Bombyx mori: one gene and its partners. The protein of the gene in region 1 interacts with the protein of each later gene in a pairwise test. Links are inferred from orthologs where the notes say so. Each region holds a gene or a part of one and is shown on either strand. Other genes may lie near its edges.

Region 1 (4,431 bases):
TACCACCACCCTACCTATTTCTGCCGTGAAGCAGTAATGCGTTTCGGTCTGAGGGTGGGGCAGCCGCTGTAACTATACTTGAGACCTTAGAACTTATATCTCAAGGTGGATGGTGCATTTACATCGTAGATGTCTATGGGCTCCCGTAAGGTGGGCTGTGAGCTCGTCCACCCATCTAAGTAATAATAATAAAATATCATAATGTCACAGCTGAAAAAAAAACAACACAAAAAGCAATAAAACTGTACTTACGTGTACTTTCGTTTCTTGGGCTAATTTCGTCTCTAGTTCAGTTTTCATTCGGCTAGCCTTTAATTGTTGCTGTTCTTTTTCAATTTTATCTACAAACATTTGGTAGAATTAAAAAAGCACTTTATAATATATTCCTTGTTTATCTGAAAACATTTGTTTCAATTACCATCAAGTGTCTTGAAGAAATTGTCGATATTATCAATTAGCACGGCACACCAATCTTCTGATTCCATTGTGTATTATTATTTGGAAATTCGTACTTTAAGATAACGACAAAACTTTTGAAATATTTTGAAATTTGTTTTTTTTTTAAGAATTAGGTTTATGAAAGCAAAGGGAATATAGCCAATACGATTATAGAATTTGTAACAAAGATTAAAGTCATACCAGTCATGTGTCAAAAGTGAAAAGAAACAAAAAACAATAGTAAATATTCGAGGTTGCTTTATGGCGTATCCGAATAAAGCGACCCTAGCGCTCAGTATCGGCAAGTAGCGGAATTACACCAGCGTTGCCAAATGTACGGCAATTGCCGTTTCGTACGGCAATCACGCTTCTAAAAGACAAATTGTACGGCATACGGCAGAGTGGTCATTGCCGTATTCTAAAATACGGCAACAAGAGCATTTCTTTTATTATTTTTTAGTGCCATATACCTATTAGGTTAAGTCGGCTAACAAGAGCATAAAGTTAAAAAACAATTAATGTATCCAAAGAAATTACAGGACGTGGATACTTTTTGCGTAAACATGAACACATCCAGCTCTTATAATAGACAATGTTTCATGTTTGGTACGAGGAATTCCCTATAATCTACAACGCCTGCTCTTTAAGTCCTCTCCTCAAGTCGCCTCGCCGCCTCGCTCTTGTTTCATTGTTAGTACTAGCAAGCGTAGCTAGCTAGCAATTTTATCTTTTGAAAAAGTGCATGGTAGCGATACGTGAGATAGTGTATAAAATGTGTATAAAAAAGAATCTTCAATGCGTAAACCTAATCAAAACAAAACAAAGAAACCGCCTCTTAACATATACCATAAATGGAACATTATTACCAAAAGAGTGCATTGTCAGAAATCAACCAAACTGTGCGAACTATAAGCCAACCCCCGAAATGATCAATAAAATGAAAAAACCATCAAATTACGAAAAAAATGAAATTATTGAAACTGAACTTACTTTAGGCAATAATACAGATTTGATGGGAAGAGAGGAGTGAAAAATATATACTGTTTTAATTTCTAGTCTAAAATAAATAATAAAATACTTTTAATTGAAATTTGAAATTTTGAATTACTTTGTACGGCAATTTTTGTTTAAATACGGTAGATTTTTTTCTCCAGTACGGCAACCCAATGTTTGCCCAGCGGCAACACTGAATTACACTTAGTAGCCATTTTTGTGATGGCGGCTGATATTTATAGATCGTAGGGAGTGTTGTTTTTCAATAAATAAATGTGTTAAAATGGAGGAAACGAAAGTAATTTATTACATAGACGATGAAGAAACTCCGTATTTGGTTAAAATACCTATTTCACCCGAGAAAGTTACGTTATTAGACTTCAAAAATCAGTTAAACAGACCGAACTATAAATTTTTCTTTAAATCGATGGACGATGATTTTGGTGTTGTTAAAGAAGAAATAGTCGATGATAACGCTCATTTGCCGTGTTTTAATGGTCGTGTTGTGTCGTGGCTCGTATCCGCCGAGGGCTCGAACCCCTCAGACGGCGGCTCCCAGTGTACGGACAGTAACGCAGGCAAGACAAAACCAGCTCATGGAGCTCCAGCGGCGCCTCTCACGAGGGACACCTGTACGGATACGGACAGTACGATAAGCTCCCGACCGGGGCACAGAGCTTCCTGCGACAAATACAAATATAGGGGCCTCCGAATCAATGGACACTCGAAATTTGGCAATCATGGCCTAGAGTATGAGACTGCTTCGGTATTAAGCTCGGATTTAGACTCGACTAGCTTGTTTGACAGTCAATCTGAAATAACCAATACAACAGGTCGCCACACAAACGCTTCAGTAGACAGAGCACTAACAGAGTGTAGCAGTGTATCGCATCTTCAAGTGAGTTCGCGAAAACGACCTCAAAGACGGCGGAAAAGACCTCAAGTTATGTCCCGAACGTCATCGTACTCCTCGATCACGGACTCTACAATGTCTATGCACATTATCACTGTTACTTTAAATATGGACACAGTCAATTTTCTGGGGATCTCGATAGTGGGGCAGTCCAACAAGGGTGGGGATGGTGGAATTTACGTCGGAAGTATCATGAAGGGCGGTGCTGTGGCCCTAGACGGAAGAATAGAGCCCGGTGACATGATTCTGCAGGTAAGACTCATAATATTTACCTATCAACCATGACTATTAAAGTTGGCAAGATAAAGCTATCTAGAACTATGTAACAGAACTAGAACTCTGCTGGTAACAGGGAAACCTTTGTCAATGTTTGAAATTGTGATTATCATGGTGCTTATTCTTAATATTCTTGATTGTGCAAACACCTAAATGATAAAAGCTGGATAAAAACAAAACCTTAATGACCTTGTCATGGAGTGTAAGCTGGCTAAATTTCAACTGGGAGTTGCTATGGATTGATCAGATTTTAATTTAAATTTAAAATTAAGCTTGGTTAATCTAAAAGATAACAGGATTGATAAGAAACATTCACTAATAATCACTGAACAAAAGATTAAGATAAAAATAATGAACCTCTAAAAGGATAAATCTTATAATTTTGATGGAGTTATGTACTATTTAAGTAACAGGATGATATCTTAGCAAAGCCATCTTACAATGGCTATGTTATTCTCATTTTCTGTCAGCATTGTCCATGTTTTAGCTTACTTGCTTATAATGAATACTCTGAACCATAGAATTTGTCTTCATTTTACTTTAGCTTAACTTTTTTTCTTATTGCCATTAGCCCACATTATCTGAAATGTGCAACATGTCCTCTTGTCGTGAGGTGGGTCGCCTGTCCAACATTAACCTTCTATGTTTGTATCTTCATATATTTGCTGTAACTTGCCATTGGAAGGTGCCCTTAACAATTTCTTTTGTTGGTGTTTTTTACCGCATCCATTTTGGGTTCTTCTTTGTCTTGTGTCACTGATAGTGTGGTTGTGCTTATCATTTGATTGGTGTTGGTGGCAAGCTTCTCAACCTGTCACCACATTTCTCTGATGGCTGTCTCCTCGTTTAACTGCAGAAAATATCCACAAATATCATACCATACCATAATAAAGTAATTAGTAACGGTTAAGGTACAGACACTAATACCATTGTGATATAAAGATGTAGATGATGAGATCTTGAGATGCAGAAGTATATTGTATGATACAATACCAACTCTATAATAATATGAAATCTTAGTATTTTAAATACCTAAAAAGCAGATTGGAGTTTTTTGTATTGCTTAGATGCGTGGAGGAGCTCACAGCCCACCAATGTTTATTTGTGTTTTTTTATTAGGCACACAATACACATTACAAACTAAAAAGATCGCCCCTTCTGGCTGAGCCCTTGCTTGCTAACCTGTCCTTGTGAAACTAAAAAGGCCTCCTGGCCACCAGTAAACCCTAAATCATAAAAAAAAAAACTAAAATATATAATAAATACCATGTAAAAATCTGGTTTGTAACATAAGCCATGTGCGCACAACTAAACAAGACAAATGTGCAGAGTTTGTACACAATGTTCCTTGCAACTATTGCACAAATCAACACGATAACGAAAACTAATCTAACTTATAATGTCCCTGGCCCTCTAAGTGTTTCGGGTCCCCCCTCACATGTCGGTCTGGGGACCGGCGAGGGGGGCCTAATAAGACGACGTGCAAGCTGCTCTGCACGCGTTTTACGCAAGAGCATCCGGGTGATGGAAGGCCGGCTATCCTCGACCCACGCTGGTTCTGACCCAGCGGGGTATTCCGTAGGATAGCTCACTCTAACCGGCGCCATCTAGGCGGGCTCCGGATAGCCTGCCGATCGAGAGGGCTGGTGGGAGGGTGATGGGAGAGATGTGCTCCGCACTAAACGCTTCACTTTCCCCCCTTTGCCTCTTCATGAGTTCTGTCTCATGCGAGGTTTGGACGTTGGTTGTTGAGCGACAAGAGGTTTTAGTCAGTTCGACTCTGACATGCTCCGCCCTTTATCCCCAGTGGA
Region 2 (3,652 bases), on another chromosome or scaffold:
ATCAATCTTGCAACAAGGCTGCACGCGGTTAGTTCAGTAGCACGACAAAAGTAAAGAGTGAGAAGAATAGATGTACAGTTTCCGGAAGTATTATTGTCTTTGGAAGTAGGTACAAAAATTAATGCATGCTATTTTCAAGTCACGTAATTATTTATATTGAGGGAAAAATATAAAAAGGATTATAACTTCACTATTTCACCAAATCTAAACTAAACTATCCCAAATCAGGAAAACTATAAAATGAACAGATCAAGTAAAATACTATTCGTCAACTATGAAATTTGTAGAAAAATGCACAATGTTTGCCAGTTTCGCAGCGTCGACGCAGTCCACTAACATTAGCATTGTCGGAACTCAAGTTGTTCTTGCTAAGCAGCTGACAAAATCACAAAAAAAATGTCACGTAGAGGGCTAGACTCAGAGGATGCGGGGCGCAGTCGAGTGGGTTGGTACCGTGCGTTTATCGCGCAGTAGTCGATTCGTTAGCCAGTTGCTCGAGCTGGCACACGGGGACTAGACCACCCTCCCTACACTTAGTCAGTTTGATAGCATTAGGGTTATCAGTGCAGACACTTGGTGGTGAGTCATACTGCTACTTGTTTTTTATTTTCTTATTATTTTTCTTTGCGAGTAGGCCGAGTAGATTCACTTCAACTGCTGTGAGAACACGTGGGAAGTCTAAGTCGCCCAGGTTGTCACAAATAGCGTCACCAGTATCCATAACAATTACAACGTGACAACGACAGAGCGGATGAGAGTGATCCTTTACTCTCGGTTCCTCAATGTTCGCGTATAACAACGCAGCTCCGTGTTGCAATATACCTACGCTTCCTCATTTTGTATCTAACTTAAAATTTTGAATTATAATCTACAGTTAAGTGAATTATTATTGTGCCAGCAGTTTGAGACAATGTCAAGAAGCGGACCTAACTTAAATATCAGTAATGTTTATATGTATTTATTAGTGTCAAATGATATATTCAAAATTTCCAGATATTGTCATTTTAAGTAAGGTTATTTTTGTTTTATCTAATCTGTTTTTTATTCTGTTGGCGTCAGACAGACAGTGGACTTTTCTTTTGGCATACAAAGATACTGTCTCCTGCGTAGCATTGAGAGCCTAGTCTTTTTTTTAAGGATGGAGGGATTACAGCCGGGTCGAAGTTGTTTCAGTTTCACAGACAGGATGGAGTCATGTACGACCTTAATGATGTATAGAACCCTTTTAGACTCATTACTCACATCACAATCAAACATCTCAATATTGATTTAGTACATATGTACGAATATACAGGGAGCATACGTGACTGTTCGATGAAAAAATTAAAAAACTAAGCGTCAAAATACTGCGCCGATGCCAGCTAGCAGGCTGTTAATGTTGGCGATGCTACAAATTTCATTGTTGACGACCCGTGGACGGCTCGGCGGCGCTCGTTCCTTCCTACTGCACGCCGGACGGAGCATGCAGACTAGGTCGCGGCGCGGTGCCGACACAGACTCGAGTGTGAGGAGCTACATCTTACACTAAGCAGGGATAGGGCTAGAGCAGCAGGTGCCGTGGAATACTTACAGAGCGCGGGCTCCGAGCGCTAGGCCGCTGCACCGAGACACGGCAAACAGAAAACAGTATCTTAGAGCAGTGTGTCGCCGGCGCGCGGCCTCAGAGCCTACTCGTCTTATATTCTATCTTACTTCCGAAGATTGAGTTATGGTACAATACGTACAGACATTGAGGACATTTGACTTTAGTTTTTTGTACATAAAAATATTATAACAAAAAGCATAATTGACGGTGTGTACACTTTTAACAAACATGAGTACTCTTCTTACAAATTTGAAGAACATTTCCATGAAGGTCTCTGATCCCTATCTCGAGCTGCGTGCGGTTTGTTGTATTTTTGTTCTTTTTGTCAATTTCATTTTAGAAATTATATAATTTTTAAAATAAATATAAAATTTAAAAAACGTATGTAAGTTAAACCGCATCTAATATTATTTATACATTGCCGTCAAGAAGATTCTGAATGAACTGACCATTATGCACAATACCTGCGTCTTTTAGTGTGAGGACCATTATTCTGTGAACTAGACTGGCAGTCGTACAAAGTGCCAAAATATTCAATCTTCAAAAATAAAAAAAAGACTTGAGCTATGTGCGTAAGTACCGCACTACAAAGTCGCCCTCGGTCGCGTGGGTCACGTGGGTCACGTGGGTCGCGTGGGTCGCGTCGGTATACTTGTAGTGCGTCATTTAGACGAATAACGTTATAGCGTCAAGTAAGCCGGGTATGAGTTTTAACATGGAACCTAAAAACAAACAAAGCGATGGCCGCTTCATTCCGTAATGAATATCCTCCGTGTACAGCGGAGGCGTACTATTGCACTATATCGGTTGTTGGAGTGCGTGACGGCGCGTGACGCTGCGTGAGACACTGACCGTTGAGGTCGGCGAGCGCGTCGGCGGGCGCGTCGTCGGGCGCGTGCTCGTCGGCGGCGTACTGCGACTCGCGGAAGGAGCTGCACGAGGACAGCAGGCTGCAACACGCGGTCGATGAGTATGTCGATGAGTGGCGGGGGTCGTGTTCAGTTACTTGTGGTCGGGTGCGCTACCTAGTGCGTTTGGGAGGGGTGGGGGCTTGCTTGCCGCGGCGGTTGGTCGGGCGCCGCATCTGCACCGCTCGAGGGTCGGCGCTCGTCTTCTTCAGCGACAGCAGCGGGGTGCCGGCGGCCTGCGCGCCGCTGCCTTCTTGGAGTTGTTTCTCTACTTCTGAAACACACCGTTGACATCTATAGCAGCCGCTCGCTGTTAGTACGAGTACATGTTGCGTAACGAGGCGCTCACCGTCTGTGATCGAGTTGTCCTGGAACATGTGCTCGAGCGCGTGGTGTATCTCGCGGAAGGAGGGCCGCTCGGAGGGGCTCCACTGCCAGCAGCCGCGCATGAGCTCGTAGACGGGCGCCGGGCAGCCCGGGGGACACTCCATGCGGTACCCCTGCGCCACCACATGCTTCCTTCGTTAACTGTTCTAACGCGCAGCTCCAAGAGTAAGCAATTACGTAAATGACAAAAAAAAAACCATCAAATGCGCAACAATGGTTTCTGTTTATCGATATCGGCTTATGTAACGATACGTGAAGTTGCGCGCTCGGCCGCCGCCCCGCCTCCAGCACTCGACGTGCAACTTCTCTCATTTCCATAAATTAATATTTTGTTTAATTTCTTGTAATTTGTACATATCTCTTAAATGTCTCCAATATTAAACTTGCAAAAAGCGAAACGATTTCACTCCCGCATTGATTAAAAGAAAATATAATGACAAATTGAAACTGTAATATTTTTCAATCAGTCACCATAAAATGTATAATAAATATTTGTGTAAACAAATAAATAAACCGATGTGTTGCGAGTCGACGAGTACAGGGCGTTCACTTAACAATTACCTACAAGTCTGAAAATGTCGCTTAAGAAATTCATTTATAACGTTACAATCGAATGAACTGTTTTATTCAACAAGCACCTACTGTATTATTGTGTGAATTTTGTACCATACAAAGAACATTGGGTTTTTTTTTTAATTACACCGGAACCTGTCTGTGGGATCGGCCACGTCTACACAGCGACGCACGAGGTCTTCCCGAACGAGGGAGCTTA
Region 3 (4,416 bases), on another chromosome or scaffold:
TCGGAATGTGTAAAAGCCTCTACAGAACGAATGTGCACCAAGTAAGAAGAGAAAGATTCAAGTCGCTGTTTGAAGGGTCATAATAATTGTCGTATGATTGAAAATGAAAATTATTCCACCAAATAATTTTTCTTGTTTTTATTTTGTTCCATTTAAAAACCGCTTGTAACAAATTTAAAAAAAAGAAGTCCACGGCCCTGTAATTTAAGTCCTCAATTATATAGCAGTAAGATCGGGAGCATGTGATTGCAATTTCGAGCTTCAACTTATACCGTATTTATCGTTTGCTTCACTAAATTAGTTACATTTACAGCTCCACAATTTTTTTTTCTTTCTATATTTATAGGAATTTATACCAAATTACCTATGTTTTAGGTATTTATACCAAAAAAGGTTTACTTTACAGGTATTACAAATTAGCAAACTGTCCAAATGAACAGCAGGGACCGTTCATGGACAAGCCCGAACTTTTCATACATGCCACGTCCAACAAGCGTCCTTGTATTGTTTCGCGGCCTGTGTTGCGTGAACCCACAGTGAATTATAGCCGACGGTTCGACTTCTCATTTTATTTTGTTATTTTTTAGGCCCTGTTACTTAATTTTTATCAAGTCGCATGAATTATGACGAGGCGGGACCACACGCGTAGCATTAATTACTCGTCGCCGGCCCAGGTGAACTAATCGATTCAATCGAAATTCGAATAGGACTTCTTTTCCAGAAAAACTACTACGAATGAGAGAGAATCGATTCTTATAAGACTTAAATTCTAATCTATACCAACTAATATGCCGTATTAGATATTTTGTAAAACATTTTTAAAGCGTTATTTTATCTTTTAAGTGCATGAATTGAATGTTTACCGAAACGTATGTTTGAAGATTGAAGCGCTCTTAATGGGATGGTCATTTGTCGAATGGTCAGTGGCAGTAAGTTAATAATAATGCGCCCAAAACTAGACCGGGCCATTGACCCGGGCGGGCGGCGCGGGCGCACCTCTCCTGCCTCGTTGGGCCACTAAAATAGCGCTTTTTGCTTTACTTTATGCCTACACAATCAATTTTGAACCTGAAAAATTTCATCTTAAAGTATGTGTTAAGTATTGAAGGATTGTTAAACGTTTTATTTATTTTTAGATAGTAATAAAATAAATATACAACTTTTAATAATAAATAACTTTTATTTTATTTTATTTCTTAGCTTTATTAATGTATTTATAAAATTAATTTAAATTGTTATGGGTCAGAAAAGAGAACACAAGTAAATATCGACAACATATTTGTCTCTTTATTTTACATTCTCTCGAAATATTTTAGTGTTTTGTCGTCCGGTAAAAAAAGTAGGTATAATATGTTCTGCTAAATCTCCGTATAGTCCAGTCCAAGATTAAATCGTATTTTAATTCACAAACCTTGTTAGTTTTGTTCCAAAAAAAATTTTAAGACACGAGAACTTTATTTCAAATAATCCAGTTCCATAGCTCTATAATTTATATACCAGTTCCGTTGCTACGAACCATCAACATTCAGGAAGTCTACACCAAAGATTTTATGATCAAATCACTGATATCAATTTATCGTTACAAATTAGTAATTTGGAGGATCCTGAGTTTTGTCCGCAATAAAATTATTAATGGTACTCAAATCTGTCTCACTAATAAGGTGTTAACGAGGGTCGTTCGTTTTATGTGCTTTTTATTGACACTTGATTTGTCGGCTACCTGCCGGTTAGTATTGGACTCTTAGGAAACATTAATGGACGATTCTGAAGTGGCCCGATTATGTGTGCCAAACAGGATGGCAGCATTTTAGTGATTTTTACGGGGTATCGGACGTGACATATTTTTGTTACGCCTCTCATTTCCACTTATGTATATTAAATGTTGACGAGTTTTTTATGGGAAACGCAATATATTTTTAAATATAGAATCATAAATTTCAGTGATATTTGTAAACAAATATGTAATATACAATATTAATAGGTAGAGACTTCGGCAATTAATTTTATCAAAAAAAAAACTGCACCTACGATCGCAATAATACACTTCAATCGAATATGCAATTTCGAAAAGGGCACATGTCGCATATTTTGTCAAATACGTTTTTTCATATACATGTAGTTTTGAGGCTTACCTACACCCATTTTATAATAATTCCCGTAATTTTCAATTGCTAATTAACACTTAAAATATATTTCAAAAGTTAATATTTTAAATTTTACACTGCTTTAGAAAATAATCAGTTTTTTTTCATTTCCTGAACATTTTACATTTTCAGAGGTGTGCCCTTTTCGAAATTGCATATTCAATTTATATAGAGTTGTGATCGAGATAATTTTTTTTAACTTACTAACCTGCTATGGCCATCCAAGGGTAGAAAGTGTGGTTAGTAGGCTGCTGGTGCACTGGCTGCGCGGCTGATGCTGCTGATCCCGGAAGTGCACACTGGTTGCCCCACGGAAGCGCTCTACCAGGACTTGACGACTCACTGTATCGAGCTTCAGGAGTGCATGCTGCCGGCCTCACTAGTGCTCCCAGACCTGAGCCCCAGGCTTCTTTCCCACCATAGCCATTCTGCTGCTCACCGCCTGGCTTTGAACAATCTGCTTTAGGATATTGCTGCTCTCCAGCATAGAGCTTGCAGGCCGCCGCGACAGACGCGTCGTACGGTGAATCCTGAGGACGAGGCTGGTGCAAAGCGTGTGGCTGTGCATACGTGAGGCCCAGAGGGAAGCCGCGGTACTGGTCTCCACCACCGCCGCCCTGGTGCACTCCATGGGCCCCGTAAAAACCACCCTGCTCGAAGTAAGAGTTCATCGTGACCAGTCACAGGCACTAACGTCACTCAGGGAACACTTATGTCATCGCGGCCCCGCGCGCCGTGATAACGCGACCTCCGCCAATGTCACACCAAATACGGACAACGTAATTTATTTTTATTAATTTTATTGCCTCTTAAACGTCACTAAAGCGTCATAATGGGCTTCGTCGGCGATAAAGGCCAGTTGACGTGTGTTTACTTTTTACGATTATTTTACGACTCGGGAGCGCGTGCCGCGGGTTTTACGACTTTTTAAGCGGTTTCGTCTGCGGCGCCGGCTCGTCTCAGGACGTCAGCCGAGAGCGCGTCTCCACTGTATGAAATCAGAAGTGATCGTGGTGGTGTATGGGCCGGAGGCTTGTGTCGCGAGCGAAGTTTTCCGTCGCGTGTGGCGGGAGCGCGCGGCTGTGTGTCGTGTGCGACCGGCGCGACGCGGCTCACGCAATGTACTGAGCGCGGCTGAGACACGCGCGCCGCCCCGCGCTCACTGCTACCATCGCAGCCCAACGACTATTGTTCCGTCCCCTTTTCGCTAATCACTATAAATATTATCAGTTACGCTCTCTTTTCCTTTCCTTATCACACCCACTCGAGCACGTGGCGAACGTTCGTCAAACAAACTAGAACTTTAGCTGCTCTACTTCAGAATACCTAGGTTAATAACTGACATTTATATGACTTAAGAGAGAACTCAATAACATCAAATCCTATTATAAACTATATGTTTTCTTTTAACAATTTATGTATCTTCGGACGACCGCGTAACAAAACTTTTGAAGAGCCTCAACAAAAGCCTCAAAAATGAATAGAACGAAAAAGTTAAGCCGCAAAAGTCGTAAACTCATAAACGTACAATTAGTGAAACGGGCGAGTAAAGAAAAGATTTTACAGCCACTCGTCGACCGTGCCACAATGAGCGTTCAGTATCGTAACAAGGTGCTGAATAGAGTGAGAAGTCGTAAAGATGATTATTATTTCTTCTACTACCTGTTTTTACGAGTGATGTTTCTATTGCTCTCTTGCTTAAGGCGCCCGTTCGAGAGCGAAAGGGACAGCGCGTCGAGCGCGGAACGGTTATCATCCGAGCGGGGCTGATTAGTGTATAGCGGTCTTGGTCTCGCGCTGTGTAGCGCATGCAGTGGACAACGCACTATCGGAGGGTAAACAATAGCGCATTATCGCGAGTTCACTTCGCGCGACCAAATGAAGTCGTCAAACGAATGAATGGTGCGCCCTACCCTTAAGAATTGAACGCATTTTTATTGCGCCTTCGTATGTAAATATTTCCTTTAGATCCGGGTATTGAGACGTTTTTTTATTTATTTATTAAAAATGATATATGTAAAATGACAAGTTTAACACTTTTATTTTAATTAATAGATAATGGTGGTTTACGTTTCATGAATTAAATATACTTAAATTTTTTATGATTTTTTAAAACTTACCTTATTTCAGGTTTTCGTTAACTTGCAAAATAACTTATTGAACCAGAACCAAATCACGACACCAAACTAGAAATTAAGAAAAATATTAATAAATTAGAATTGAATTATATATTAATGGAACAACACAAGATTGCCCATGGGTACCTACATCC

What was found.
Region 2: the proteins of segment polarity protein dishevelled (region 1) and tyrosine-protein kinase Abl interact in binary tests that used the Drosophila melanogaster proteins (3 or more experiments, as listed by UniProt). The link is inferred for Bombyx mori from reciprocal best matches to the Drosophila melanogaster genes dsh and Abl.
Region 3: the proteins of segment polarity protein dishevelled (region 1) and Ubx interact in a two-hybrid assay, tested with the Drosophila melanogaster proteins (2 studies listed by BioGRID). The link is inferred for Bombyx mori from reciprocal best matches to the Drosophila melanogaster genes dsh and Ubx.

The regions. Positions count from the first base shown.
Region 1 is NC_085130.1:18,595,009-18,599,439, reverse strand, and holds the start of segment polarity protein dishevelled, read left to right. Parts: upstream 1-1,623; 5' UTR 1,624-1,714; coding exon 1,715-2,596; intron 2,597-4,431. Other genes in the region: uncharacterized protein LOC101735736, read right to left, coding at 253-341, 419-485.
Region 2 is NC_085107.1:86,005-89,656, forward strand, and holds part of tyrosine-protein kinase Abl, read right to left. Parts: intron 2,994-3,652; coding exon 2,843-2,993; intron 2,768-2,842; coding exon 2,611-2,767; intron 2,536-2,610; coding exon 2,438-2,535; intron 1-2,437. UniProt on the Drosophila melanogaster protein: Arm and Abl proteins function cooperatively at adherens junctions in both the CNS and epidermis; critical for embryonic epithelial morphogenesis regulating cell shape changes and cell migration.
Region 3 is NC_085112.1:6,103,967-6,108,382, forward strand, and holds the start of Ubx (ultrabithorax), read right to left. Parts: upstream 2,816-4,416; coding exon 2,353-2,815; intron 1-2,352. UniProt on the Drosophila melanogaster protein: Sequence-specific transcription factor which is part of a developmental regulatory system that provides cells with specific positional identities on the anterior-posterior axis. Binds the consensus region 5'-TTAAT[GT][GA]-3'.